Oreochromis niloticus: one gene and its partner. The protein of the gene in region 2 interacts with the protein of the main gene of each other region in a pairwise test. Links are inferred from orthologs where the notes say so. Each region holds a gene or a part of one and is shown on either strand. Other genes may lie near its edges.

Region 1 (15,531 bases), on a different chromosome or scaffold from region 2:
GAATCACCAAATATTGGTATTAGTATTAGTACAACCAATACAAAGCTAATAGCAAAGAAATCAGAACGATGTTAAATGATAATTCAAAGGATTTAATAAAAAGTGTTGGATTACCTGTTTTGGCATTTTCAGATGCTCGCAAGTTACTCCTTTAACGATGTTAAAGGAGTAATTAGCAGTCGGGCTTATAACGCTATAGCCTCCAAAGTAGCATTGCTTTGGCTACAGCATTTTTCTCTTTGGATCCTATTTGGGCTGGCTTAATTATCTTTACTGTCACCTTTGTGTTAATACCTACATACTAAAAGAAACATCTTGAGTGTGCCCTTGTTAGAGTATGGGTTTGTGGCATTTTGTGGGACTGTAGCATAAGGTTTATGTTGTTAACTCATGGTAATGTGACAGTGTACATTATGTCATACCACCTTGTTAATAATGCAAAAGTTATATAATGAGCAGTGTAAGGAATTCCTTTCTTCAGCGAGTAAATATGTAACAAAGTGAATTCATTTTTAATTTTGGTGACTGTATCCACAGCAGCTTAGTAAGGCTGTCTGCGTGTATCTTCCATCCAATTTGAAATTGTCTCACATGCTGGATTATGAGCAACTCCACTATCTGTTATATCACCACAGTTGTGATGTAAAAACGAATGAGTAATGAAAGTCGAGTTTCTGTTTAATTATTTAGCAATGGTTATTACATTAACATGTGTATGTGCTTTGTTCAGTGAACGTATTCATGGCCACCCCACCATAAGAACAATTTAAATCTGTGGGTAACTGTTCAAAATTCACATTTTGAGGTTGGTTACACACTTAAATGATAAATGAACTGGAACTTATATGGTGCTTTTCTACTCAATTTGAACACTCAGAATGCTTTCTTTCAACAAGTCTCATTCACTCAAGCACATGCACATCCATACAGCACTTTTTATCTAATGTAAAAAGCATGAGTGAGTGGGCAACTTGTATTCAGTGTGTTTTCCTTTAGCAATACTGTTTTCCCCTAAAATAAGTCATTTTGTGACTTACTCATGCTTCGTAAATTACATTCCACATACAATTAAATTAAAATGTTTCTGAACTTGAGTGCCAAAATCTTTTAATATGCATTGAAAACCCTGCTTCATTAATTGGCTACATTACTTGTAGAGGCCGAAAACCCCATGTTAAACAGATGGATGAATCTCATGTTGTCTGATCACTGTATTATTGTAGGGTCTTTATCTTACAATGTAAATTGCCTTGAGGTGGCTGCTGTTGTGCCTGTTTTAGTTTTGGTACTCAGATTTTGTGTTATAATTGGCATCAGAATAGAGAAGTGGAATTTATGTATTATTACTGCTGACGAACAGTAATAATACAACCTCTCACGATTAACAAGTGTGAAATTACTGCCTGCCTAACTTAGTCATTTATCACGTTTACACCTTGCATACATATTGAAGGCAGCTGTTTCTTTGCCTGTATTTTTTTTTCTTAACATAGGCAGCCCATTAATACTTCACCTTAATCTTGTAGGAGTAACTTAAGATGCAGATAAATTTAATTTATATTTTATTGATTGCCATTTGGCCCTAACATTTGAAATGACTTGTCTGGTATGACAGTCCTTTGAAAGCAAGATTAATTGAGCCTGCTTAACAATAGGTAAATCAATAACATGGTAGTCCACCAAGTAAAGTTAAACACCAAAGTCTTTGTCACAATCGCTATTCATTACTCCTGACAGCCTTCAAATTAACCATGGTCAGCGTTCTGATGTGTGCCCTTGTTAGTTAGAATTATAGTATTGATTTTTCTGCTAGGTTTTTTGTCGTCGTTTAGGCAAAGGTTGCTTAAGCACTACAGGGAAGGAGTGTTTAATTTGTAAACAGACATTTCTGTATTGTTCTGATGTTTGACAGGGGTCTTTAATTCAATACATCACTGTCTACATTCTCTACGTTCCCACAGATAAACCATGATCCCCATCACCGAGCTGCGGTACTTTGTGGACACACAGCCAGCATACCGCATCCTGAAACCTTGGTGGGATGTCTTCACCGACTATATCTCTATTGTCATGCTCATGATTTCTGTTTTTGGGGGAACACTGCAGGTCACCCAGGACAAGATGATCTGCTTGCCCTGCAAATGGGTGGTCAATGAAACCTGCAAGAAGAACTTCAATTCAAGCATCACATCATCAGTGCCCAAAGGGATCCAGTATGATTTGGACCGCCACCAGTACAATTATGTTGATGCTGTCTGCTATGAAAATACATTGCACTGGTTTGCCAAGTATTTCCCCTACCTAGTATTACTCCACACCCTTATTTTTCTAGCTTGCAGCAACTTTTGGTTTAAGTTTCCACGGACTAGCTCCAAACTAGAACACTTTGTATCTATCTTGCTAAAATGCTTCGATTCTCCGTGGACAACAAGGGCACTATCAGAGACAGTGGTTGAGGAAAGTGACCCAAAACCAATGAAAATGAATGGCTCGATGGACCACAAGGAATCTGTAATAAGTGAGGATGTTGAAGCAAGTGTTCCTATGCTTCAAAGGACAAAATCACGCTTTGAGCAGGGCATTGTAGATAGAACGGAAACAGGAGTTTTGGACAAGAAAGAGGGTGAACAGGCAAAAGCTCTGTTTGAAAAAGTGAAAAAGTTCCGCATACACGTGGAAGAAGGAGACATTGTATACAGACTGTACATACGCCAGACTATTATCAAAGTCATCAAGTTTATTTTGATAATCTGCTACACAGGGTATTATGTGCATGATATTCAATTTAGTGTTGACTGTTCTGTAAATATAGAGAGCCTGACTGGTTACAGCGTGTACCGTTGTGCTCACCCACTTGCTACACTTTTTAAAATCTTAGCGTGTTTCTACATTAGTTTAGTGGTGGTGTATGGTTTGATCTGCATGTACACGCTTTGCTGGATGCTTCGGCGCTCCCTGAAGAAGTACTCCTTTGAGTCAATCCGCGAAGAGAGCAGCTACAGTGACATACCTGATGTGAAGAATGACTTTGCATTCATGTTGCACATGATAGATCAGTATGATCCTCTGTACTCCAAACGCTTTGCCGTGTTCCTCTCAGAGGTAAGCGAAAATAAGCTGAGGCAACTCAACCTCAACAACGAGTGGACACTGGACAAACTCAGGCAGAGGATAACTAAGAACTCTCAGGAGAAGTTGGAGTTGCACCTTTTCATGCTTAGTGGCATTCCAGATACAGTGTTCGATCTGATGGAGTTGGAGGTTCTTAAACTGGAGCTAATCCCAGATATTACCATTCCCCCAATCATTGCTCAGCTGGTTAACCTGCGAGAGATGTGGCTTTATCACACCCCAGCCAAAATTGAAGCTCCAGCTTTGGCTTTTTTGCGTGAAAATTTAAAGTCTCTGCATATCAAGTTCACCGACATTAAAGAAATCCCCTTATGGATCTACAGTTTGAAGAATCTCAGTGAGCTTCATCTGACAGGGAATCTCAGTGCTGAGAACAACCCTTACATCGTCATTGATGGGCTCCGGGAGCTCAAGAGACTCAAAGTGCTTCGTCTGAAGAGCAATCTCACCAAGCTACCTCAAGTGGTCACTGATGTGGGCATGCACCTCCAGAAATTGTCCATCAATAATGAAGGAACCAAGCTCATGGTGCTCAATAGTCTAAAAAAGATGGTAAATCTGACAGAACTAGAGCTTATTCGCTGTGATCTTGAACGCATACCACACTCAATCTTCAGTTTACACAACTTGCAAGAGATTGATCTGAAGGATAACAACCTGAAGACCATTGAGGAGATCATCAGCTTCCAGCATCTTCATCGGTTGGTCTGCCTTAAGCTCTGGTACAACCAGATTGCCTACATTCCTATTCAGATTGGCAACCTGAACAACCTGGAGAAGCTGTACCTGAACAGAAACAAGATTGAGAAGATCCCCAGCCAGCTGTTCTATTGCCGCAAGCTGCGCTTCTTGGATTTGAGCCATAACAACCTAACCTATATCCCAACAGATATTGGCTTCCTCCAAAATCTTCAATACCTGGCAGTGACAGCTAATAGGGTAAGTGATGTAATAAGCATCGTTTCCAAAGATTTTAATATTATCCTAATTATAGTTTGGAGTTTATCCATAATGCTTTATTTGTATTATTTATTTGCTGATAAAACAATAAATTAACTTAGAAGTCATAATTTCTTTCCTTTTCTTTCCCAATGGAAAATCCCTTGTTCTTTAAAATACAGATTGAGAACCTGCCTAATGAACTGTTCCAGTGCAAGAAGCTTCGCACTTTGAACTTGGGAAACAATTGCCTGCAGTCTCTACCATCACGATTTGGAGAGTTGACTGCATTGACACAACTAGAGCTTAGAGGAAATCGCCTAGAGTGTCTGCCAGTGGAACTTGGAGAGTGCCGACAGCTGAAGAGAACTGGTCTTGTGGTGGAAGAGGACTTGTTCAACACACTGCCCACAGAGGTCAAGGAACAGTTGTGGAAAGCGGACAAAGAACAAGCTTAAAAAACAGGTTTGCATCTGCAAGTACAGATACTGATTTACTGGCTCTGGACCTACAAGTTGGTCCCAGATGCTTGCCATAACAGGCAGTATTCCTGCTGCATTGTGCCGTTTCTAAGTTTGGGCATCAAGAACCAGTGCCAGATTGGTAGAACCAAAATCCTGGCAGTTTCTGGTTGTCTTCTTAGTCTATTTGATTTATTAATTCCTTGACAAAAAACTTCTCAGGCCTTTACATTATAATCCAGTAATGATGCTTTTTAGCAATAATGTAGTTTGAATCTTGTGTTTACATTTTTATGCCTCTCGATTATGGTATAGAAGACAGCGTATGCAACACTCGGAGCCAATTTTACTGAAAAGAAAAATAACACTGATCAATACTAAAAACATCAGGTTTAATACATTAAAATATTCTGTCAGGTGTTCTGGTTTGAAGGCACAATGAGATGGCAAAATTACTTCCAAGACATCTTTATTTCTGTATATAGACGATAATCACCTGTTTTGAGTTACAAAGATGCTATTGAGAGTGATTTGATAGTATGACTTAACAAAACAGTAATAACTATAGATGAGTGGAGTATAATTATACTGAGAGCCTTGTACCTAAAGGTGGTTTACAAAGTGGGAAGAAGAGGGCCATAGAGGACACTGTTAGTATTGTAGCGCTAAAGGGCTTTTTGTTAGTTGGTTGGCTGAACATCTTTTGATACTAGAATAGACAATTTGGCAGAATGGAGGGTTCGGTTCCCTCTTTCTATGGAAAGATGTGTGTTTGACCTAGTGCTTAAGGAAAAGCAATTATTCTGCTGAATATCACTTATTGCACTAGCATTAAAATGGTATTAGTGAAGCATATCAGAATACAAACCTTACTGCTAGTATATCTTTAATGGAAAATAACATTTTCACACAAAAGTATATGATATGTTTGCAATAACTTGCACATAACAAAATAAAATGCGGGGGAATGCTTAAAGATTTTGAATGAGATGAGTCATGTCTGCCTCATAGGAATTCAGATTAAGTTTATACAGAATGACAGTGGTGAAATTAAAATGGAGCCTGAAAGTATTTGCAATATGTCTGTCAAACGTAGAGGCTTAAATGAGATTGGGGCTTTTTTTTTTTGTAGCAGATGTAAAAAGAATCACTGGTGATAAGCAATGATAGCTCAATAGCTACAAATAAGAAAGACCAGACATGTCATCATGTCTTTAAATGTATTTTTTAAGCACCTCGCCTCATGTTCATTTGTAGTTTGTTACTATAACATTGTAATATTATATTTTCTACCTTGATAGGATTCAAATTCTGTTACTTTATTATTACTGGACTGCATTAGTGTGCAATGTTCAGTGAAGAAGCTGCTCACCTATGTGTGAGAAAACACACATCCTAAACGTTAAATGTTGGAAATGTTACATATTACTCACTGAGGTGAGGATAAAAGTCACTTTTACTGTTTTCTGCTGATATTAAAAAGCTAGTAGTAAAGAAGTTTGAAATTTTACTGCTACAGAATCAATCTACATTCCAATTAAATGAAAAGAAAATGAAGTAAATCTTACAAGTCGATCAGATTAGTTGCCTTATTTTCTCCTCTCATTGTCATGAATTGATTGTTATGTTTCCGTTGTCTGGTCAGATGAAAATTGTTAGTTTTTCAAAGTGCACCATAATAGTCAACCCCAGATAGTGATGGAGCTATTGTCATAGTTTCCTTTTTTGGGGGGGGGGTCACTTCTTGCAAAATTTTCAGAAGTGACCATGCTTGACACTTAATATGTCTTAAGTTGATTCCCCACCCCAACACATACCCAGTTTCTGTTTTTCTTGTAACCTCACCTTGTGATATTGAGTATGGTTAAATGTTGGTTTAAATCTGATCACCGGTCTTGTTCCTCACTATTAACAACTACTGCAAAGAGTCGGGGTCAGCAGAGAGCAAACCTTGTAATTTAAAATGTCCGGTAAAACTTCTACAAGGCTGTACCTAGCTGTTGAGTTTAGATTTTGGTTACTGAAGATGCACAAAGTGTAGTTTATTATTAATGTTTTATTTTTATTTATTTATTTTATTTTATTATTTTTTTTTTAAAGCTCATCTGTCCAAAAGACTGTTGAGCTTATGCCAGGCATCCATGGTGTATTGTTCATTCACAAGACAGTGTTAGTCACAATATAATCAAGCTTGCACACACAATCACCCAGTGAATCTTCACCTAAGTTGTGCTCAAGATCGAGGTCATTTGTTGTTTTATGGGCAATAACCTCTGAGTTGTGATGGATCGGGTGTCAGATAAGCTACTATGTCATTGACGTTCTGGGTTTTGGGGAAGGGTTTTATCTGTTTGTTGTTTTTATACCTTTCTTTGTTTTAGTACTAGATGTACTTCTTGCAGAAACGAGTTCCTGTTAAGGAAAAGAAAAGATATGTTTTTTGTTTTGTTTTGTTTTTTAAATCAATAATCAGACTTAATTGGAAGTAACCAGTGCATTCTTTTCTCAAAATATAAACTTTATTTCTCATAGTTAAAGGCAGATTTAATCTTCACTAGTTTTTAATTAAGAAAGAGATTTTTAGGTAAAGGTTTACTTGTTTTTGCTCAGTTGAGAGTGACTGTTCTGTATTTTTGTTTTGACACAGTGACCAAGACAAAGCTAAAAATGTGGAATCTGATATTGATCCACAGTTCTGATGCAGCATAACACACAACAGAAATTCTTGTATTTACCCCAAGAAAAATACAATTCCTGTTCTAATAAAGATTGACTGAAGCAATATACATAATAGAAAACATTTCAGCTATGCGCATCTATAACCGTGACATGTTTGACTATGCTATGTTGTGCAGTATTACATTTATTTAAACTGTATTGTTAGTAATGATATAGATTTCTAATGTGCATTTGTATTCCTTTTGTCACATTGGTTTTACTAAAGACATGGTGAGATTTTCACATTAAGTAGATTAGAGATTGTTGTGCTTAAAGGATGCTTTTGCACTATAGCACTTCTCTCAGAACTTACTTTTAGATGTTGCAAACAAAAGTGTACAAGTTATTGTATGCACATAGAAAAACCTGTTTTGGGCATTTTCCAGTTTGGGAAGGTTTACCTGAATGACTGCCAGCCACGAGATTAAATTTAAGTTTACGCTTAAGCTTTTACATAGAAATATTAAAAAGGGAAAAAAAGAGATGGATTTTGGTCTTTAGTGGAGCATTTTGAGTGACACCCACAAACACATCAGCAGTACACCTATTTAGTAAGAGAATCGACTATTCCATTTAAAAGGGACATCATGTCATCACGTCTAAGTGATTTGTTGCAATCAGTACTGTAAATAAGTGGTCAGTGCATAGTGTAGTAACATTAAATAAACATGTTTTTGTCTTAGTCACTGTTAATCTTTCTTTTTTTTTCATTTTTATTATTAGACTAATTTTATTATTTTAATTTTGATATCTATTAGGATTATTGTAGAACTAAATTTCTCAGGAAAGCAGCCAGTACTCACTTTTTTTTTTAGTTCACTGTCTATTATTATTATTATTATTATTATTATGGTATTATTTTTTTATTATTATTTCTGGTATTTGTAATAATTTAAACAGTTGTGATAACATTTTTATATCAAATTTCTATACATTATTTTTTAGTTTTGTGTATTTAATAATAACTGCTGAATTGAAACTAAATGTATCTGTATTTTCAAGGAGAAACCACTTTATTTGACCTTGCTTGTGTTTTTGTCAAACATCTCATGTCTGAATTGTGTCTTCATTGTGAGCAATAGATAAAGCCCAAGTGTGTATGTCTGAATAATGGGACCTTACCCCTTGGTTTCTGTTTTCTATTTTTAATTTGTATTTTTTCCTCTTAAAATGTTTAATTTGGGTACAAAATAATTTTCCATCTTTCTCTATTACAATCAGACGTGTTATCTTGACACATTTGGTTTTGTGCAGTTTTGTTTTGTTTTGTTTTTTGCCAAAGGAACATCATCAATGCATTAGTACCGACACTGAGTGTGTTTGAACATGTTTCTCTTCATGTCTTGTACACCACTGACTCCAGTAAAATAAAAAAAATGAAGTAAGCCACATTTGTCTTGGTGTCTGTTGGGCTTTTGGCACAAACTTTTCTCAGAAATTGCTCACTGTAGTGCTAATGAAATTTACTCTGAAGATTTTATGAACTAATCTGTTCTCAGGTGTTTTACACCAGCACGGAGAACATGTCATAAACCCAAGCCTTGAATACTCGGAATTTTCATTAGAGGTGATGCTGTAATTTAGCTCGTTTTTATCTGACATTATAAAGAGCCTCTTCAAATCTTGACGTGCCATATATCTTAAAAACCTTCATCTCTGCTTTGTGCTCTGCCTATGTCTTAATAGCGTCATCACACAAGGGTTAAAAAAATTACATAAAGGTTTAGCTTGATGTGCAAGTGTGCACATCAAACTAGTGTGTAGATGCAGATACTGACCTGTGTGCAAATGTGTAAATATGTATAACATCTCTCATACTGTAGGTGTTCAACTGACCTTATGGTGGCTGCAAAGACCCATATCATGCTACAGTCACACACGTTCAAACAGAGGTTTGAGGCAGTGGCATGACCAAAACTTTTACAAATTGAAATTTCCTTGTCGCAATGAGTTGGCTATCCTATTTGTACTCTAGTGTGACTGAGCCATTATGCCCTCATGGGCAAAGCTATTGTCATGCAGGAAGATACCACTCCCACCTTTACAAAAATCCTTCATCATAGGATGAAGGGGATCACTCACTAAAAATTTTTTTGCGAGGACCATTTCCAGAAACTGGCCAACCACGCCCAAACCATGTCAGCAAAATGTCCCTCCCCTCACTGTTAGTGCCAGTGATTCATTTTTTTTTTTTCTTTAATGTTTCAATTGTCTGCCCCTCTCGTATTTGTCTTTGTTTCATATATATATATATCTATATCTATATCTATATATATATATATAGATATAGATATAGATATATATACAGATATATATATAGATATATAAAATAAAGACAACTACAACAATTTTGTTTGCGGAACCATTCACCGCTGGGTACCCATCCCCACACGGACATGTTTCTTCGACACACTTGTTCACAGACGCAACATTTGAAATGGTGAGTTTCATTGTCGCATTTACAGTCGGTATTTGTCAAAAGGAGGTTGTTTCCTAGTATTACGTTATAACGGTTCTAAACAGGCTACGAGTCACCTAAAGCATTGTGTAATAATGTAGTTCTTTGCGATAGCAGGCTAAGCTAGTCAAGTAGTTGAAGTTGAAGTTCGGGAGAAATTCCTTGTTTTCGTGATGTTTTTGATGTTCTTGTCTATTTTGCAGGCTGTTACACTTCACTCAGATCTAGGAGACATTAAAATTGAATTGTTCTGTGAGCGCACACCGAGGGCATGTGAGGTAAATGTATTTCTCAACCTAACTCTCCCTAGCAATCAAGCCTTTTATTTTAACACTCTTACATTTTATGGATCTTTACGTGAAAAAGTAAGACCATCCAGCACTCGATTTATTTTCTTCCACTAATTCAGGGTCGTAGGTGGGATGGAGTTTATCCTAACCCACTTAGACCTTGTGTTGTTGTAGTATGAGAGTACGCTCAAATGCAGTTTTGGAACTTTCTGTATGAAGTTTGCATGTTGTTCCTGTGTGTGTGCATGGGTCTTTCGGATTCCTCCCACAGTCCAAAGGCATGCCAGTTAGATTAATTTGTAGTTCTGAATTGAATGCAGGTGTAAATGATGATGATTATTGATAAATCAAATCAAATGAATGATTGAACTGATTTAGGACATTTCTAAGAGGTTACTGACCCGATTTCAGACTTTATTCAGATTTGTGTGCACCTGATGTGTCAGAATTACTTTCCAGCATGGCACAAGACTACAAAGAGCCTTAAAACTCAATTTAAAAACTCAGTTCTAAGATATACTGTCTGCAATGAAGATGAAAGAGGTGTGATGTGGTCACCTCTGGCAGATAAAGTTCTTTACAATCTAGACTCAGAAATGATCGTATTCTGTCAGATAAATAAAGATAGTCAATGCTTAAGGGCGATGAAGGTGTTTAAGATTGCAAATTTAAAAAAAAAAAAAAAATGTAATAATAACATTTGTAAAATGGTAATTTAAAAACATGACAAATACACGAATTTGCATTTAATTTTGCTGGTGTTTTTTTTGCAGAACTTTCTTGCTTTGTGTGCCAGCGGCTTCTACAATGGTTGCGTCTTCCACCGAAATATAAAGGGCTTCATGGTTCAGACCGGAGATCCTACAGGTACGGGGATGTTATTGTTTTTGAAGTGGCAAAAAAAATATATAAAATGAACTTCCTGTTCATTGCATCTTTGTTTTCTTATTAAAACCTCCAGGCACCGGTAAAGGAGGAACAAGCATATGGGGGCGTAAATTTGAGGATGAGTTCAGTGAACACTTAAAAGTGAGTAAATCCTATAGCTAGTTGGTTTAAGCTGGTTTTGCCCAAGTATCATTCCATAGGAATGTTTTTCGTTCTTCTGATTTCAGCATAATGTAAGAGGAGTGGTCTCCATGGCAAACAATGGTCCCAACACGAATGGCTCCCAGTTTTTCTTCACCTATGCCAAACAGCCTCACCTGGACATGAAGTACACAGTGTTTGGAAAGTAAGCATCTTATGCAAGCCAACAAAAGAGGTTTGTTGGCTTGCATACTGGCTTTGTTACCTCAGGTAAAATTGAAACATTTGCTGACTGCTTACCCTCTAAAATTTAGGATCATAGACGGCTTGGAAACACTGGATGAGCTGGAGAAGCTGCCTGTGAATGAAAAGACGTTCCGACCACTGACTGAAACTCGGATAAAGGATGTGACCATTCATGCTAATCCTTTTGCTGGATAGCAGATTTTCACTTTCATATGATACAATGCTTGTTGCCTTGCTAAAGTCAAAATACTTTTCAAATGGTAGAACTGGAGAGTCCACTCACATGCCCAGACAGTGGGCAGGGTGCTGACTTCAAAGCTACAAAGTGTTAAATTGTCTTAACTTTTTATACGGTGTAGTTCCTGATTTTGCAACTTCATGTAAAAAATATATAAAAATCAGGGGGATGTCTTGTTTCCTTTAAACAATGAACTTTGTAAACAAAAATAAAATATGGACGTAACCGCCATGATGTCACCCATTGGTTAGTGAAGTCTCATTCTGAAGTGTTTCAAAGTTGTTTTTTGAAGCTGACTGTCACAAGATGGAGATGGATCTAAACAGGAGACCAAAGGACGCCACACACTTGGCACTGACATGTGAATGATATGTTGTTAACCAGTGAAAATATCCTGGATATTTCTTAGTTTGTGCTTCTAAAAATGACCATATTTTACAAAATGATTATGATTTACTTAGTTAACCTGAAACTAGCAGGTGAACCCAAAGTTATCAGGAAAGTGTTTGCTGAGGTTACATAACAAAGGAGCTGAGGATTGTTTCCCCATAGACTTCTCTGTAAACGCAAGTCTTTTTGCAACTTTAAGAGTCGCCTCCTGCTCGTCGTTAAAAAGACTACAGGTTGAAGTTTGCTGCACCTTTCAGACCTGAAAGATGTGTCCATATTTTACACTGTCTGTGTTTTAAATCAGTTTTGAAATGATTTTTTTCCTTAACAGGTTCCTCTCCATTTATTCAAGTTTAGTCTTAAAAGGGAATGTAATAAATTGCCAATGTTGCGTATTTAAAAAAAATAAAATAAAAAACTTTTGTAATTAAAATACTTTTGGTTTTAGCATGTTTTCAGAATATGTTATACATGCAGCATATTTTTCGTGAGTGTCCACTTCACATCTTGTAGTCCTAAGAACTAATTTGAACTACAAAGGAGTTATTGCGTCACATTGCGTCATCAGTAGTGGACAACTGTCACGCGGACCCTGGTAGAAATCATGGCTACAGGTGATGCGTTTAAAGTAAGTTTATTACCTTGCGTGGGTTTACAGTGCTTCGTGGTTGCTCATTTATGACTTTGGTCATATATTTATTATTATTCATTTATTTTATCCAGGCGAAAACTCTCATTGAGAGTTAAATTTAACTTCCAAGAGAGACCTGGCTAATAAGGGCAACAAAAATGAACTAAATACGGGCTTATTTCTGCAAGTTAAGATACCTCGGAGAAAGACTTGGAGGTTTTTTGCTGTGTATTGTAGGTGTCATCTCTGAAGGGGAAAGTGGCCCTGATAACTGGTGCCAGCTCGGGAATCGGAGCCGGTACGAGCGTCCTGTTCGCTAAACTCGGAGCTCTGCTGGCTCTGAACGGACGCGACGTGGAAAACCTCAACAAAGTAGCCAAAGAATGCACAGACTGTGGAGCCGACGAGGTACATAACGTAGTATGCTTCATATATATATCTGCACACACTTCCATAATGTAGTTGAATAAACACAAGTTGGATGCTGTAATAACAATATTATACTTTTATACATTTTCTGGCGGTTGGTACGACCTCCTGTGACCTCCTGTTGGTCAATTTAATGACCAACAGGAGGTCAATTTAATGAGCAGAACTAAGATATTAAACAATTTTAGTGTTTGTAACTACATCAGAATTACAAAAACAAGCTTGTACTAGAGACGCACTACTACTTACTGTATACTTTGTAATTTACACCTTACTAGTAGCTGGGTGGACCCCTTCACAAATGCTTTAATTCTTCATGGCATAGATGCAAGAACATACAAGAAACATTTTGGAGATTTTGGTCCATATTGACTTGATAGCATCACACAGCTGCTGCAGGTTTGTCCCTCGCATGTCCATTTTACAAATCTCCCATTTCACCACAGTGCCAGAGCTCATTTGTTGGATTCTGGTCATTTTGGGGGCCATTTGAACAAAGTGCAAACTCATTTTCATGTTCAAAGTGTGTCAAGAAAACTTCCCTCACACCATTACACCTTCAGCAGCAGCCTGAACCTTTGATGCTATGCAGGTTGGATCTGTGCTTTCATGTTGTTTATGCCAAATTCTGAGCCTACCATCCAAAGCAGCAGGAATGGCACCCGCTGTGGTACCCTGTGTGGTCTTCTGCTGTGGTAGTCCATCTATTTCAAGTTTTGATGTGTTGCATTTAGTAATACTCTTCTGCATGCCTTAGTTGCAATGACTGGTACTTTGAGTTACAATCATCTCCAAGCAGTCTGGCCATTCTCCTTTGGCCCCTGGCATCGGCAAGTTATTTTTGCCCAGAGAACTGCCACCCACTGAATATCTTCTCTTTTTCAACCCTTCTCTGTGAATCCGTGAGATGGTTGTGTGCGAAACCCCCCCCCCAGTAGATCAACAGTTTCTAAAATACTAGGATAATTCTAATGCTCACTTTAAACTTCAGCAGGTCCTACCGACCACGTCTACATGCCTAAATGTTCAGAAACTGGCTGATTAGATATTTGCATTGTAACTAACAAAAGTGACTGGTGAGTGTAAAGAAGCAGTTTTTAAGGCTGGTGCCACTATTGTTATTACTTGACCAGGCCGATATTTGTGCCTTTAACAAAACAGTTTGTTCTGTATTTACTGTTACTTTAGTGTTGAAGGCATACATTTTTGTCACCTTTATAAATAATTTAAAAAACAGTTCTTAATGAAAGGTTGTGTGTGCATGCAGCCTCTACTCGTTCCTGGAGACCTGACTGATGAGGAGATTGTGAAAAGCACGGTTGAGAAAACTATCGCTCACTTCGGCCGGCTGGATGTCCTGGTCAACAGTGCTGGCATACTGGCAATGGGCAGCATCGAGACAACAGACCTGGCTCAGTATGACAAGGTCATGAACGTTAATGTGAGGTAGGAGACCTGGCTTTATGTAGGAGATGTATTGGTATCAGTTTCACAAAGCCATATAGTTGTTGATTAAAGAAGAGGTTAGATATAAAACTGGGAAAGAGAAATAATTTATTACATGGCACTCTTCATATATTAAGAATATCTTTATATAATAATGATACTTGTCAAACTGTGAGGGTATTTTTTTAAGATGCTGCATTTGAATTCAACTGAATATGAGATTTATTTTATTTAAATATTCTAAATTGTACATGACGTTTAACAGTTAATATTTTATTATATTGTGAGCAGTTTAGCAGTACTGTTTAATGTGTGCCTGCGTGCTTGAAAAGTAGAATTAAGCATGTTTAACCATCTTTACACACCATGGACACAATGAAGCTGCATGTATGAAAATGTAAGGGTGTTAAAATATAAAATGTTAAACAATTGATAAGAACACGGTGTCCTTTTGAAGTAGATTTTTTACATACTTAGGATGGCCAATCCTTCTAATGTAGGATCCATTTAGTCCTACATTAATTCTATTTGTGCTGTAAAAACAGGTTGGAATTCACAAGCAAAAGTGAATTCTGTGCAAATACAGATTTAACACTGCCATTATCGACAGGAACATTATCTCAATAGAACCATTCATCAGCTGTCTAGACTGGATGTAGCCTGATTAATGTAGGCCTGGTGAGATACTGCTTTTACTACAATGGTGAAGCCAATCACAGATGTCAGGATGTTAACTGACCTTTGCAGTCTGGCAAGCACTGGTTATTATAATGAATCATAACTGCATATTTAATGTTCAAAGACTTTTAAAAGTAATTTTAGTTCATATATTACAGATCTATATACCACCTGACCCAACTTTGTGTACCGCACCTGATCAAGACCAAAGGCTCCATCGTCAATGTATCCAGTGTGAACGGACAGAGATCAGTGGGTACTCTGCATGTAGACGCAATATTTAAACAGCACCATCCATATGCACTATCTTTATGAAGCTATGTGTTATAAAGCATCATCAAAGAAGTGTAATTTTTCTCTCTGTAGTTCCCTGGTGTGTTGGCCTATTGCATGTCCAAGGCTGCTATTGATCAGTTTACACGTTGCATAGCACTTGGTGAGCTCTT
Region 2 (16,127 bases):
ACTACGTGTCATTAACAGAAGGTTTACTGTCATAGAAGAGATTCCAGGGGACAGACAGTTACTCTAGGGGAGCTGGACAGGCCATAAAAGGGCCTTAGAGACTGGTGTCTGCTCATTTGTGCAAAGAGGAACAGGATGAGCAGTGCAAGAGCCCCCCAGTATCATGGCAAAGCATGTGGACAGGGTGGACTAGCATGCCTATTACCCTCATTTTTCCCCCATATCTGATTGTTTTTAAAGTGTCCTGTTAATCTGGTGAGTAGTTTAATTGTTTTGATGACTAAAAGCTCTTAAGAGCCTAAAACATTCCCCAAGAAACTGTCACTGATAAAAGAAAAGGGCATATTAATTGGCATGTTAGGGCTCGTCTTTAGATGTTTTCTGACTCTTCAAAACTTGTGATAATAAATAATAAACCAACAGGGTCCTTTAAGCAGCTGAACAAGGTCTGAACATGAAGCTAATTACCAAAAATATCAAATGGCAATAAAACCTTTCCCTTTACACTTAAGAACGTGCAACTTCAGACATCTGTGCATAGATGTTGGAGGGGTGTGCTAAATAAAAATCAGATCAGTGACATATATGATGTGAAGATCATTCAAGTTCACAGTAACATACAACTAGAGATTAACTACTACCTTGATCTCCCTTCGCTCCCTTCTCTCCATCCTTCCCATCTTGGCCGTCCACCCCGGGGGGCCCATGGGGCCCATGGCCCCGGGTGATCCAGGGGCTCCTGGGTTCCCTGCAGGCCCCGCTGGGCCCGGCAGACTGCAGACCAGCTGGGATGAGTGGATGGTGAAATTCCGACCTCTCTTAGATGGGGGATTTGTTGACTGCGAGACGACAACTGACAGCACATAGATCATCACAAACATCTGGAGCATGATGGGAACTGTAGAGTCACAACGAGGCAAGGGGAAGCAACTGTTTACAACAATTATACTGACTTGAGTTTTGCAGCCATTAATCAGATGATGCAAACATCTGGTAAAAGATTCCTGGAGTCAACCAGAGACTAAAACCTAACACAACATGTGGACGGGCATCTAGATGGCGTGGTCATTTTCATGCTATCACTCAGTAACTAATGACAAATGTGATGGATCTGTTATATGTTCTGGTTACATAAAAACATGCAGCTTACAGCAGGTTATATAAAGGGAGTGTGTCAGCCATTTTAAAAGCACAGAGTAAGAACTCACCAGTTGAGAAATTATGACCCATGGGTATTTTTCAGCTCTGTCCGAGCCCTTTCTCTGCATCAGAGCGCACAAACCTTCCTACATTTCCAGCAAACGATTGAGGCAGCATTCTTCAAGAGAAGCTCTGCAGAGAAATGTGCAGCCCAGAGCCTCCGTAACATCCGCCCTGTTTATGCGAGTGATAGGCCAAAAAAAAAAAATACTTTCACCATGATGTCATTACATTCAAGTCAGTGCAACAGCTGAAGCAGTGACACATCAGTGGCTCACAAACTCTGCTGTTAGGAAGCAAGACATTACACAACGAGGGCTAAAAAAGATAAAGCAGAAACTTTTAGCTTGTTACACTTTATGCATTTAGATACTAATATCCTCAGAAGCGGTCTAATGTTGCAATAATAGAAAAAGAAAATGAAAAAAAAAACAAAACATTTGCGTTTCCTTCTCTTATTAAGAGCACTAAAATAGTCCTGCACTGTACACTGCAAAAAACACGTCTGCCATGTTTTAGGTTTCGGACTGTGTTCATGTGTAATGCACGTGGATAATGTGTGCACCTGGTTAATGAGGCACACAAGGACAGACTTCTCCCTGCAGTCTGAGATAAGGCACGCTGGGATTGACTGCTTGTTTTTGGTGTCCTCTTCTCCACCTTGGAACCCTCATCAGGGCTTTCCAGAAAATCACCCAGTGAATGAAGAGGTAGCCATCTCATCTTTGCATTCATTTTTCTGTTCAGTCCATTAGGTTAGGTGACGCTCTGGGTGACTTTTTTTTTTTTTTTTAGGTATTTGAGATTTTATTCATTTCCCTTCTTTCCCGCTTTATCTTTGCCCTAGTTATGCTTAACACACATCCAAGGCTTTAAAAAGCAAAATTAAAAAGTACATAATTATTTCTTTTTTTCCCAAATAAATTATCCAGAATTGTTCGTCGCTGCTTTGAAGCAGCATTTCATTCAGAAGGAGAGCGTTACGAAAGGTAAACACACCTTGCAAGGTTCAGTTTTTGGTTTTTAAAAGCTTATGCAGTAAAATAGTTCTAAAACTCAATTTACATGTGAAAAACCGTGTTACCTAAAATAAAAACTAGACTTGGCGGGGGGGTCAAAACTAACTGTGACATGATTTTGTAATCCTGGCAAACGAATACAATTAAATTAAATACAAATATTGATGAAATGTCTTTAGTTTTTGTTTGTTAGTTTAGTAAAGTTACAGCTTTCCCCGATGAGGTTTTAACTGACATCTCTAATGAGAGTTTGGAGGTCTACAAGACTGTGAATGAACTGTTTTCAGAAGCTGCGGGATTTTTGTGTGAAACTTGAACTGATCTTCTTAAATCTTGCCTCCAGCATTTGCCCTCTGTAAAATGATATTGTGCAAGGCTAAAGCTAATAGTGAAAAAAGCAAAACATTAAAACAATAAACAATTAAAAACTAAAGTGAAAAGCACAGGCTCAAGAGAGTCAAAATGAAATTTAAAAATAATAAATAAATAATTAGAAAATACAATAACTAGAATAACTCTGGTGGGCACTTTTACAAAGAACTGTGGATTTAGACCCTGATCACTTACACAGGGAACATGATCACTGAGCACATTACATAAACGAGCCGTTCCCTACAGCAGGGATTCAGTGAAGGGTAGAAACCAGAAGGGTAGCTTCAGTTTCATTTTGGCCTGTAGTGGAGGTCAGTATGAAGTAATCCTCTGCTTTCTCTTCAGATCAGTACTTAAATCGATGAAGTCTCAGACCTGACAGAAATGTTGGAAATGCCTTTTGAAGAGTTCTTTCCATATTACTTTCTGTTCTTGTGTACCAATTTACAAATCTCCCCACATACTTAAGTTTCTTCCATGTCTTTCTTTGGATCTGGAGTCCATAACTGGAAAACATGATATGTATACACAGCCGTGTTAACAACAGCTACTGAGGTTCAGCAAAATTAAGAGGATCAGCCGCTTGATGATACATGTAGGCCTTGAAAGCCAACCCCAAGTCATGTTTCCATCCATTGCTCATACCTCATGTACAACCCTCCGCCCCCGCAAAAAAACAAACAAACCCAACAACAACAAAAAACCATACATTCAGGCAAATGGATTTTATTATAAAAAAAATGCAGTTACGTTTCTCATGTTTCCTGTAAAGACTGAATTTGAAAGGTTTGAAAGTATTTAAATGTCTCCTGTTGAAGCGAAACACCTTTTTTGTTGTTGTTCTACATTTTATGGACCTGAAGCTTCAAAGCAATGTGTCAACATTAACTTTTACAAAATACTGTACACAGTTTCTCCAGCACTTCTTTCCAAAACACAAAACTTGAGTGAATGAGGGATTTTATATTTTACTGAGCAGCTGCTCTAGTAGAGTCCTTGGGGAGAGTTTAGGGGAATCTGCAGGGACTGAAAAGGTCACTGTCCCAAGAAGGAAGCCATGGGATCATCTGGCCTGCTGCGTTTCATGCGGAAGGCCTCCATCTCCTCCTCAGTGGGCGCCTTTACTTCAAACAAGCTGTTGTACGGCCTCTTCCTCTCATCCAGCTGCATTAGCACCTCCACCTGCTTCACCCGCTTGTCCTCTGCTTCTAGGGCCTGAGAGGGAGACGGCGGTTGGAGGTCAGACACGGAGAAACTCATCAAAACAAACACGGCAGTCAAACAAAAACATCACCTTCTTCAGCTTTTCCTTCTTCTTCTCCTCATCCTCCGAATCACTGCTGTCAGAGTCGCGCTTCTTGTTCTTTTTGTTCTTCTTTTTCTTCTTCTTCTCTTTCATCTTATCTTGATGCATCTGGAGATCACGAATATTTTAATAATGAACATTACATTTAAGCTTATTAACATTAACTGCTGCATTTTTTTAAAAAACAGTGTCCCTTACTTCTAGCAGAGTCTTGGGCTGTTCCTCCTCCTGTGGCTCAGTTAGTACCTCTTCAAATGGAGTGCACTCCGAGTTGTTCTGCAGGGGTTCATAAAAAAAAAACACAGTTGGAAAGTGAGAAATCTGTGACCACTTTATAAACTGATATCCTATCCATCAAACAAACCCTTCAAATACTCTCAGTAAATGTACTTACAATTCCAATTCCAGCTGATCCTGTGCAGTAACTCTGTTTGACCATGGAGTGGCAACACTTGTACCCCCAGAAGCCGTCTTTCCAGTAGGAACCCCAAATACACTAACAAGGAGATATGATCTTGATTTTAGGATAAAACATAATTAAAATGTACAAAAATTAGCCACACATTTGCTACAGTCTGCCCTCCTTACAGTGTGGTTGTTGATGAGCACGTCCTCCTCATATTTGGAGCGAGCGACAGCCTTTTCGAGTCCTTTCAGCACAGCGCCGTGACGTGAATACTCCACGTAGTCCTCCGTCTGGGCCAACAGCAACTCCCGCGGTGGTGCATCCAAATGCTCCTGGCCTCCATACTGATTGTCACACACAAGAGCAGAAACATCATCAGTAAAGCCCAGGCTGTGACTGATATGGAGTTCAGTCTGAGATTCTGATATATCAGCCGATTTTTTTTTTCTTTCCGATATCCCTAACATTTTTAGTTATTTATTTTCTCCTTTACACAGCTGATCCAAGCCCGACTGCTCAGATCGACTGGTTGTTTGTGGCGTTCTCAAACGTGCTGCCAACAGAGAAGCTGCAGAGTGCCATCCGGTGGACAAACTATGCAACATCTGCAATCATAAGATGGTTGAAGAATGTTTCTCCCATCTCTCATGTATAGTTCACTCTTATTTTCATTTACTGGCCATTATAAATGCTCATATCAATAAATCCTTCAACACTAGGTGGTGCTACTCCAGCTTTTCGAGTAAGGGGGGGGATTCAGATTAGAATTGGGAACTCGGAAACTACAAGCGAAGTGCAAATAAATAAACAGCCACTTCTAGCAATCTACTAGTTTCCACACCGTGTTATCAACAGAGATTAAAGACCAAAAAGTCACTGAGGGAGCAAATTTCACTGACTGGCTGGTAAGGTTTGCTTCCAGGCGTGTGTGGTTGCACTGAGTGGGTTTTCACCTCAAACCCGGGAGGTTTGCTGGATGAGGATTTAGGGTAAATGGTTTATGCATCAGAAACTGTTCAATAAACTACATTTTTCCAGACATACTTTTGAGAGGCATATAGAGACAGTGAAGTTAAGCTGCAATGGAAATATTGGAATACTGTTCCTGATCGTGTCATTGCTTGGCTTTATGCATGCTGCGTCACATATTTGGAAAAAATAAATAAATAAAAAATGTAGAGGCCTCATCCTGTTGCTAAATAAATATATATCAGCCGTGTACCTTCTCCAGGATGCTCTCCCTCTGTTCTTCTTTGAAGTCCTCCTTCTTGACCTTGAAGGAGCGATGCAGCAGCTCCAGTTTGGTGGGGTCAGCCTGCAGATGCACCTCGGAGCCTTTCTCATAAGCCTCCCAGGCAAACACTGTCACAAGGCAATGACAATTACAACAAATTACACTCTGTGGTCCTATCAGATAAGAAAAAGCTCAGATTTCATAATTCATTCATAATTATCCTTTACTAAGTAACTAACTGAAACTGTAACTGCCTTTTGGTTTCTCATATATAACATACGTGTGACAGGAGAGGCACTCTTTTTAATTTAGCCATGTCTAAATAGATGTATAGATGTTAACCACTATTGTTAGCAGGCTGCTTTTTACATTTTTGCAGCTGATTTTTACTCTATAAATGCTGATTTTTTAAATTTTTGGAAGACTTTTGGTAACCTATTATAATCCAGTCAAACATTCAACAGTTTTGATCACAGTGGCCAAAAATAAATAAATCTCTAGAGTTATTTCCAATATAAGTAAAGTCATACTTCCAAAACCTAAAGAGTTAAGGTTATGAGGTGTTTGAAAAGAAGGAACCATAACTTTAGGACTTACATTGTGTTTGAGCCATGGAAATTGTGTCTCCACTGTAGCGAACAAAGTTGTCTCCAGCGTACCCCACTCTGTTACACAAAACAGTTCAAAAATGATTTCAGTGTCCACTCAGTTACTGGGAGACTATTTCTACTATTCTTCTGTTGATTTTATTTAAAAAAACCAAACCAAAACAACAACAACAAAAAACCCAAACCCATAACTTACTCATCAGGGTTCTTGCCCGTGTTGGAGTACGGGTTCTCTCTCATTGCTCGGGTCTTTGGATCGTAGTACGCTGAATTTGGATCCAGATTTCTCAAGTACTGTGAAAAACAGACACGAGGAGTTCAGATTACAGAGAAATTAGTAAATTGCAGTACCCCATCTTTCATATACAGAACTGCTGAAAAGTCATTTGATTTTTTTATATTTCACTTGAAAACAAACATGAAGGAAACATGCAAACACAAATGAAACACAACATATGATGCAAAAACAGAGTCTGTGTAACTGCAACAGCCCTCTGAGTCAATATTTGGTACAACCACCTTTATTCATTAACACAACTCTCTTAGGCAGCCTTCTTGTATTTTCTGTAAGTCGTCTGCAGTAATAGTTCTCCAGGCTGCTTGAAATATTCTAAGCTTTTTCATGTTCACAACTTAAACAAGATCCCGATATAACAGTCTTGTTGTAAGAAAAATATAAAAGGAATATGGTGTGGCTCAGAGCTTTTACACAATAATGTGGGCGGTAACACGGTGCTCTGTATTCATTTTTTCCTGTGTACACAGTTTATCATCAGAGAAAGCACAAATGACTAATGTTTTACTACGTGGCTCTTACTTTAGCTGTGTCTTCTCTGATACGCAGATTCCTGACAGTGATTCGTCTCTTGGAGTCAAAGTTCTGACCGGGCATGTCGATGTCATCTGCATATTTGTCTTCATCCTCATCTTCACTGTCATGTTCCCGCTCCTACAAAGAAAGAATGTAAAGTTATTAAACTGCAGTCTGATATTTGCCTCCAAAACTGGGAAAATGTATTATTACCATGTTAATATGAGTGAGCACTTACAGTCTGGTCCAGTTTTCCCGAGGCCAACTCATCCTGAAGTTTCTGTGCTTTCAGTGTCCTTTTGGCCTGAGAAACAAATAAGAATTCAGTCGTGTGGTGGCGGACCACAACAACACCGGCTAACCAATGTTTTGACCTCTGGAGTTCAATCATGCTGGTCCGCTTACCAGATCTACTTTGGCGTACTCTTCAACAATGCGCTGATGTTCCTCGGGGTCGTAGCCATTCCAGCGATCACGCTTTCCATCATAGTCCATGGCGAGCTGGATCTGAGCGTGTTCATCTGGAGCAATCCCTGTTCCTGTGAATTTAGCACCAACTTTTCTGGGTCGCTGGTGTGACAAAATGAAAGGTAAGATGCTAGCTTAGTACAAATAATATAACAATAATAATAATAATAATAATAATGATAGTAATACGCCTTTGACATCCAGGATAAGCAAACCCTGAATATTAATTTGTTCCAGCAGATAATTGTAAAACTGTTTCATCGGTTTTACCTCCAAGCAGTCTTTCTTCTTGTGTGTCATGGCACCACAGTTTTCACAAGCCCCTTTACGGTACTTAGTTGAAACTGCATTCTGTGTGGAGACACAAAGTGAAGCTTTTAGATTTTGTGGCAATATATCTACTTCTGTGTCCACATGAGAGGAAAAACTCGCCTCATTCTCACCTCCTGCACTCCTCTCTTGTACCACTCTCCGATTGCAGAGTACTGCTTCTCATTCTCACCCTGTGGTCTTTGATGCTTTAGTGTGGGCCTTTTTGATGGGTCGATGTACCACGGCACTGATGAAATGTACTGTGGGATGTGGGGGTTTATGTCCCTGTAGGACAGAAGCGTTCACGTTACAAATCACATCATTCCTTCCATCAGCTGCCTGAAAGCACACACTTTCTGCCCAGGCAAAAACTTACTTCCCCTCCTCGTCCACCTCAGCTGGAGCATTTCCCAGCTTTCTCTGCTCCTCCAGCTCCTTCTTCTTCCTCCAGTCCTCTCTGGTCATCTTCTTGGGCTCATCCAGGCCCACGATCCCCTCCGAGTTAACGCTGGTCTGCTCGGTCATGTCTGAACCTGCCGCCAGAAACACGCCACCGGGGACGCCGTCACGGGTTAATATAAACACCCGTCCTGTTCACCTATACTCAGCAATTATGTGCTTCCCTTCTTTAAAAAAAAAAAGACTAAAACTACAGTTTTTATAGCAGTATTGGCTAACCTAGTTTACCTGCCCAATGACGTACATGTAGAAGAGGCATTTTACTTCATTTCTGTGAAAGTTAATAAACCAGCTCACTCACTTACCTTGATAAGGCTCCACAAATAAACTTGATGTTTATATTCTTTCCGTAAAATCAGCAACTTTCCCTTTATTTGACCCCTTTTTTAAAACTCGTCGGTTCTGTTTTGACTAAAATGCGATCGTCGCCATTTTACATCAACTATAGTTACGTCACATCCTTTCTGTCGAATCGCTGCCGGAAACAGCGACTTCTAGCGGACATAGTCGGAACATCAGGCCGACCGCCGCTCCCTCTGCTCAGAGTACACCACCTCAACCGCAAGAAATCAGGTGGTCTTTACTTTCTTTTACTTGGGAAATTTCATATCAATAAAGTTGAAGCAATTCAGTTTCTAACCCTTTATTTGAATGTTTTTTGATCTGATATCTCAAGTCTAAAAAAGCATAGCTTAAACTATATTGTTAAAATTCACTCAGAAGTGTTTCTCTGAAGAACTGTGTCAGTTTTATGCAACATGTAGTCTCTAATGTGGCTTTAATTTATGATTTCTCTTAGCGAAATGAACTTGTGTGTCTGTACATAATTACTGGCCACGTTTTAGGTACTCATTATTACAAATCTCTAATCAACTAGCCACATGGCAGCACCTGAGTGTATTTAAGCATGTAGAAATATTAAAGCTGGTCGGGCAATAGAAAATAGTAATCGTGTCCATTCCTGTATGGCACCGTGTACCCATCTTCTGATGGCTGCTTAATGGTGTCACGTCACAAAGCTCAAATCCTCACAAACTGATTTCTTGAGCATGATGACTTTAAGACAGCTCTGAAAGCACAAAGGTGGTCCAACCCAGTAAGAGCAATGTGTATGTGTATAAAAGATGCTTCAGAAAAGGTTCTTCTTGTTACATGTGGACAGATCCTTGGATACTGAGATCCAGTAAGTACAAGGATTTTATTCTAATTTAGTCAGTGCAACAGCAGCGCGGTTATAAAACCAACACTGGCGACATCTGTGATTCATGTTTAGGTTTTGAGAAGATGACGCTTTTGTCTTTTATTTCTCTGTGCCAAAGATCCTGAGCTGTGAGCTACTCGTTGGAAAAAACAAACAAACAAACAAACAAAAAAACAGAAGGAACCAATCAAATAAAAGAAACTGGGGTAGTTTTTGTTGTGAGAAGATCATTTATAGCAAGAAGACTCCAGTGGGTTTATTTCTGCATTCCTCACAAGCACCAGGCGCGTACTCCCTGTGCCTAACTGTAACACGGACATGTGAGAACAATGTTTTGAGGACTGCTCTGATTGGAAAGACAAAGTTAAGACAGTAACAACAACATAAGATGCCCTTAAGATGACAGTTTGGTCAGGTGAAGCTTCCCACCTTTTTTCTTATATTCCAAACAGGGTTTTTTTTTCTTAAAAAAAAAGCCAAAAAATGTAAACATTGTTAAGAGAAACAACAAGAGAAAAAAACAGCACCAGACACATACATATCAACAGAAGTAGAAAGGGGCTGAGTAAAGCAGCCGTCGAAGCCTTAGCACCAGTACTCATCCCTGCTGTCAGTCCAGCGGTGTGCAGATGAGAAGGCAATGTTGTACCAAAGTGAAGGCAGTGTTGCATTCAAGTAGGTACCAAAATATGAAACTCTTTCAGGCCTTTCAATGTCTACTGAGAGTTTTGCTGCTGAGATATAAGGAAGGACAGGATGAACAGTCACTTGTCATCATCCTCCACTCTCCCCCAGTCCTCCTCGTCCTCACCCTCCACCTCTCCATCGTCTTCCTCCACATAATCACCCCAAGTGTCATACTCGTCTCCGCCCTCCTCGTCCTCCTCATCATCATCCTCTGGCAGATTTCCTCCATAAGGTGGCTCATCCTCCTCGTCCTCTACTATCTCCATCTCCTCCATATCATTCTCCTCGTCATCGGCCTCTTCTTCTTCTTCGTCTTCTTCATCGTCGTCGTCGTCGTCATCGTCATCTTCCACGCCCTCGACGTCCAACCCGCACACTTCCCCATCTTCCACCTCCCCGTCCTCTCTCTCTGCCTCGGAGGAGGCAGGAGTGGGGAAAGCTTTCTCGTCAGTTCTGCCCGTGAGGTAGGACCTGCCGGAGGGGACGAAGCTTGAGGTAGCAGTCTTGGTGTTGATGTAGAGACGAGGAGGAGGCTCTTGCCTCGATGAAGTCGCTTGGCCAGCTGGGGCGGAGACGGGAGCGGAAGGACCCGCTCGTCTGGTGACGGGGACGAAAGAAGGGGCGACGGGCGAGGCAACAGCCCCGGGCCTCATGGAGGTCGTGTTGGGCATGTATTCGCGTATCTCCCCTGGCTCCAGCGGGTCGGGCCCACAGGGGTCATGCTCGCTGCAGGACAACTTGCCGTCCAGCTTGGAGATGAAGAGCATGCCTTCTCTGTGCTCCTTACAGTATGAGTTGGGGCACATCTCGCAGAACGAAGCCGCCTCTTTGCCACATACGTCACACTGGTGCCATGGACACTCCCATCGGCCTGCAGGCAAATCAAATGTGGAATGAATACAGTAAACATGCGCAAATAGTAAGATTTTTGACTCACAAATAGCTAACAAAAATATAATATTTAACATTTCTCTTCAAGTTCACATTCATCAAAACTACATTTTATTTTTGCCTTTTTTTGGAGAACCTTCACCTCAGAAACCACCCAGTCACCTCTGTTTGCTCCATGCATGCTCGAGGATATTCAAACCCCCTGAGAGCTCGATGTAAAAACGATTGGCTACACACGGCTATCAAATTGTGTGCTCTCCTTAAAGTCTACTTGCCTGCAGGCCTCTTGGCCAGGTTGAGGCAGTCAGCATGATAGACCTTTGGGCAGCCCGGCTTCTTACAGGAAACTATCTGACCCCCGTCACCACAGCTGAAGCACTCATCTTCCCTCTCCTTGGTCACCTCTTGCTTGGTCTTCTTCTTCATGGGGACCTTCCGTTTTCCTTCCTTAGGTTTCATTTTCTCAGCTGCTGGCTGGTTCTATACGCGGACGAGGAACGGGAAGGTCACAAGGCAGCTCTTCTTGTAAGTGCGGTCAGAGGATCATTTAAATGAAGGTAAAGTTGTGAATAAATATAAAGTTTTACCTTTGGCCGGACACCCAGGAAACCGCTACAGTTGGGTGCTCCACATTTACAGGCAGTCTTCCCGTTGCCACGACACTCCAGGTTGTAGTTGAAAGTCAGCTCCTCACCTGAAATAGTTGTTGCATTAGATCGGATGTGTAATTAAAATAATCTGGATGATCTTGTTAAATACAACCCTCCCCCCTAAAAATTGAAGAAAGAAAAAAAACCTTTTCAAACCTTTTGGGACGTCTTGTAAAGCAAACAGCCCCACTCTGGTGTCCCCATTCACAGTCCACTTCTGAGTCTCACAGTTCGGCTGGCAGCTGTGGTTCATGAAGCGAGCCTGGTTGCCTTTGGGCCCCGCGTCAATGATGCGATCCTGGAGTGAAAAAAAGCGCAAATGAGTGTGGACACGTCATCCGATCTGCACTGTTAATCAAGCGTGCCGCGTTCAGGCTGCATCTGTTAGTATTTGACTCAGATACTTACCTTGTCCAGTGTAAGCATGTAGAAGTTGCAGATGTCATTCTCCTGAGCGTGCCTGATCCTGGCACGGCATTCTTCTTCATCTATCACCTCGCCCACGTACTCACTGATAAAAGCTCCCTGGGAAAGACAAAAAGAGACGGAGAAACCGAGGAATGAGTAAAATGTGGTTACAACTAAAGCGATCAATGCTGGCCTGATTCGTTTCCGACCCACCTTCCTGATGTCCGACAAGCCGCGCAAACCCCAGCCGCAGGACAGAGTCCTGAAAATCTCCACAGGTGTGTACTGGCGCTTTGTGAAAGATTGATTTTGGCATCGGTCCCCTGCCGCGCACACCTGAGGGTGACACTCGTACATCAGCATACGGTTAATGCACTCGGAGTCGATGCCGCACGGGTTCTCGTCAAGCGCCTTGCAGTTACATCGTGGAACCTCTGAGAGGTCAGCGGTGATAATCTGCACCTTCCCAATTGGCCGGTTTACCTAAGAAACAGAGACAGGGGTGAGATTTTAACAGCACGTCTCAGTTAACTGCTCTGCCGTGGGCTAGATGAGCACAGATGTACACACGGTACCCGAATGTGTCGGTATGGAGGAGGCTTCTTGTCATTCTTTCTGTCCTCCTGAAGCTGCTTCAGCTCCTTTTCTGCCTGAAGCTCTTTGAACCGCTCGGCCGCTTCATTCAGCGCTACAAAGAGACACACGATCTTTACTATTAAACATGCACCTTACACCAAGAATCAACATGCACTCAGCAACCTTAAGCACGCACCCTTTTTGTACACTGCATCTGCACCCTTGCCCATTTTTTCTATGTTGTGAGTATCGCCCTCCATGTAGGGAAACACTCTGGCCTGGTATGTCCACACGAAATCTTTGGAGCCAAAGAACTGCACCGGGAACTCCCCAACCTCATGTTTCATCCTTAAGATGTTATTTGGGACCTCTTTGGTCAGGCAGACCTCAGCAGGCCACCACCTGAAGAGACACAGCGGGTTTCAGAAATACAAATATGGCTCCAGTAGTTGTTGGGCAGAGCCTCTGTGTGATTGCCAGTGTTGTTAACCTACCTGTAACGCCCCCACTTGACCCACAGGATGTCCTTAATACGGGGCTTCTTTCCAGCTTTGCAGTCGTTGCAGAACCAGCTACCCTGTGGCATCTCCATATTCAAGCATTCCCGATGGAAAGCAGCAGGACAGGCTTCACAGCACAGCAGACTGCCCCCTAGAAACACAACCCGTGAGCGATTAGTGAGCTTTTTTTATAACATGTCATAATATGGCCTGCAACAGTCTGTAGTTATGTTTGGAACAATGATTATAAGGTCACACAGGCCTGCAAATTTTCTTCTAAGTTGGTAAGGGAGAACAGTCCATATCACATATAAGCATTTGTGAGGTAAAACAAGCAAATAAGCACCAAGCTGAATATTTATCAGCAGCAGCAAGCTAATTCAGTAACTGACTTATTATAGTGCCACTACAAGTGACACTAATCAGTACAAATGTAGATACTCAGGACTAAATGAGGTGAGTCGGAGTATTTAAATGAGATCAGTGGCACTAATTTAAATCAGTGTCAGAAATAAGAGCATTAAACATTAACATGTTACTTCAGCAGTCAAACTGTGTGTTTTTATAGCTGCTGGGTTTCAGAGGCAGATTTGTGAGTAGAGACAAGAAGCAGAAGTAAATTTATAGATCCATTTGCCAAGTGGGAGCATTTAAGTGGAAAATGGGACAGAGCATAAAAATAATTTGGAGCGCATTATGTTGAATTGAATAATAAAGCCCGGCGCTGAACAGCTGCCTTTCTTTGTGTGTGTGTTTTTTGTTTAACATTTGAACGGTGGAGACGGTCTGTTGAAAGCTCATATTTTAATCCTGAACTCATTATTAGACATGCACATGCTACAAGACTGCGCTGACCTTCAGAGCAGACAAAGCACCAGCTAACGTTGATGTGCTCGTGGTTCTTGCAGCCTTTGCGAGGAGTGAAGTGGTTTGGACAGAGGAAACTGTTGTTCGCCAGCACCAAGCTGCCCGCTGCCATGCAGTTGTCGTTGGCGTGATAGGCGACGGGACAGCGAACGCATCGAGCCAACCGACCTGAGAGATGCAAAAGTGAGAGGAAGCACGGCTTAATTCAGGCACATCTGGATTGTTTTGGTTTTTTTTTTAAACAAAACAACACATACCATTTTACACACTTTCACTCCAAATGTTGTCCCTGGATTTGGAACATAAGACTCAGTCTTACAGGATTATTAAGAGAGATCGTAGTACAAAGCACATGGAAGGAGTCTCGTCAGTCCACTGAATTAAAACTCTGGATTACATGCCAAAATCCTGCACAGTCAGTATTTTATGAAGCCACTTTAAACTGCTAAAAATCAAGGATTATGATGTGCACTTGGTACTGTAGGTGAGGCTATAAGTGTCAAAAAATCTCTGGCTAAATGCCCGATTTCACATGACACACGAGCAATGAATCCAGTTATTACACATACTCAAGTGTCAGCCTGTGCTTATGCAAAGACACTGAGTCATTCATAAGAAAAAGCTTAATCACAGAAACAAATCCTAATATCTCCAGGCATGAAGTGCAAAGCCCTTAAATAATCCAGAGTTCAAAAGAGGCCATCAATATTCAAAGTGACATGCAAACAAAGACTGTGTCCAAAATCACGTAACCTGTTGTTCTTATTTAAGAAACAAGAATCCTTCCTGTGGTTGGCGAGCATCAAGATTAGAACAGCAAGGTGAAACTATAGGGCCTCTAAAACCCTGCAGTCAGAGCAGGGTTTGAGTTTGGAAAGGATTCAGTTTGTAAGAGATTTAACACTACGTGCTTAGATCATATTTAAAAGGGCAGAATTTTTATTTATTTATTTATTTTTTAGATGTTTTCTAGTCTAATCTGGCCTTTCTTTGTTTGTGTGTATCAAGTGGTTTGTATGCTGAGATAAACCCTCGGCATTTCCATTCATGCAGCCGCCTCTTTTATAGACCTTGACAATGATGCGCCTGCCTCGTCGAGTGTGTTCTTGACTCGGCTAGATGTTCTGAAAAGATGTTTTTTATCCAAGGAAAGAATTCTGCAATCATCCACTTCAGTCGTTCTCTTTAGTCCTCACGGTCCTTTTTTTCTTGGTTTGGCAGTGCTCATGAGTGCATTCCTTTTAAGAATAAACCAAGGTGTTGTTGATGCGCTCACTGCTAAAGTTTCTGCTATTTCTGCTATGAATCGAAGACTTCCTTTACTTGCATCAACACCTCTTTGGACTGGATGCAAATTTTTAATAATAAACCTCGGTGAAAATGAAGAAATAACTATCAGCCAGCTGGAGAACTACTTTTAAGCACATTTCCGTGGGAGCTGTTTAAAAGCCACTTTAAGCTGCTCCCCTATTCACAAGGGGCTGGCCACAGCGGGTAGCTCCATGTTTGATTTGGCAAATTTGAACATCGGATGCTCTTCCTGACGCAACCACAAAATGGATTTTTGTCTCCTCCCGGGAAATAAATGACTGCAGTTACTAAACGGACTGATTCTAGTTGTTAAACCTTCCTAATTAAAGGTAAAACACTACACTTTAAATAAATCTTGACAGCTCTATTTTTAATTCACTGTCCTGTTAAAAAACCTCACGTCACCTAGTTGTAGTCTTGCAAAAAACGACCCTGGTTTCTGCAAAATCTTAAAACATCCTAACATAGAAGCATCTTCTGGTGTATGGTAGGCCTAACCTGGATGAGGAGAAAGTAGATGGCTGGTTGGATCAAAGCCAGCAGTGGCGCTCACCTTTAGAGCTGCAGATGTTGAGGGGATTGGTAATGTGGCAGGACAGGCACACATGCAGGGGGCAGCGGAAGCCTTTGTTGTGAGGCTGGGTGGCCGAGTAGGCCATTATACAGTCCGTGTGGTAGAATTTCCCACACAGTGGGATTATGCAGCGCTTCACCCCATCTCCGGACTTCTTACACACGAAGCACGCGTGAACGCCTGAGAGGATCATTAACAACCAGAAGAATTAAACTCAGGTATGCCGTAGCGTGCATTTTTTGTGCTTTCAGGTGTACCCACCAGTGT

Evidence for each region.
Region 1: the proteins of slu7 (region 2) and ppil3 interact in binary tests that used the Homo sapiens proteins (3 or more experiments, as listed by UniProt). The link is inferred for Oreochromis niloticus from reciprocal best matches to the Homo sapiens genes SLU7 and PPIL3.

What each region holds. Positions count from the first base shown.
Region 1 is NC_031977.2:29,285,776-29,301,306, reverse strand, and holds ppil3 (peptidyl-prolyl cis-trans isomerase-like 3), read left to right. Parts: upstream 1-9,597; 5' UTR 9,598-9,687; coding exon 9,688-9,690; intron 9,691-9,911; coding exon 9,912-9,986; intron 9,987-10,771; coding exon 10,772-10,865; intron 10,866-10,959; coding exon 10,960-11,027; intron 11,028-11,113; coding exon 11,114-11,232; intron 11,233-11,341; coding exon 11,342-11,468; 3' UTR 11,469-11,936; downstream 11,937-15,531. Other genes in the region: lrrc8ab (volume-regulated anion channel subunit LRRC8A), read left to right, coding at 1,969-4,071, 4,254-4,529; uncharacterized protein zgc:101858, read left to right, coding at 12,506-12,529, 12,770-12,940, 14,229-14,407, 15,244-15,337, 15,452-15,521. UniProt on the Homo sapiens protein: PPIases accelerate the folding of proteins. It catalyzes the cis-trans isomerization of proline imidic peptide bonds in oligopeptides. May be involved in pre-mRNA splicing.
Region 2 is NC_031966.2:26,437,943-26,454,069, forward strand, and holds slu7 (pre-mRNA-splicing factor SLU7), read right to left. Parts: upstream 8,666-16,127; 5' UTR 8,501-8,665; intron 8,270-8,500; 5' UTR 8,262-8,269; coding exon 8,113-8,261; intron 8,022-8,112; coding exon 7,868-8,021; intron 7,776-7,867; coding exon 7,695-7,775; intron 7,527-7,694; coding exon 7,362-7,526; intron 7,261-7,361; coding exon 7,195-7,260; intron 7,095-7,194; coding exon 6,963-7,094; intron 6,440-6,962; coding exon 6,342-6,439; intron 6,203-6,341; coding exon 6,135-6,202; intron 5,666-6,134; coding exon 5,526-5,665; intron 4,648-5,525; coding exon 4,486-4,647; intron 4,394-4,485; coding exon 4,292-4,393; intron 4,174-4,291; coding exon 4,096-4,173; intron 4,006-4,095; coding exon 3,886-4,005; intron 3,807-3,885; coding exon 3,627-3,806; 3' UTR 3,302-3,626; downstream 1-3,301. Other genes in the region: nsd1a (histone-lysine N-methyltransferase NSD2), read right to left, coding at 10,161-10,954, 11,250-11,454, 11,562-11,668, 11,781-11,922, 12,033-12,149, 12,246-12,515, 12,608-12,720, 12,805-13,010 and 4 more. UniProt on the Homo sapiens protein: Required for pre-mRNA splicing as component of the spliceosome. Participates in the second catalytic step of pre-mRNA splicing, when the free hydroxyl group of exon I attacks the 3'-splice site to generate spliced mRNA and the excised lariat intron.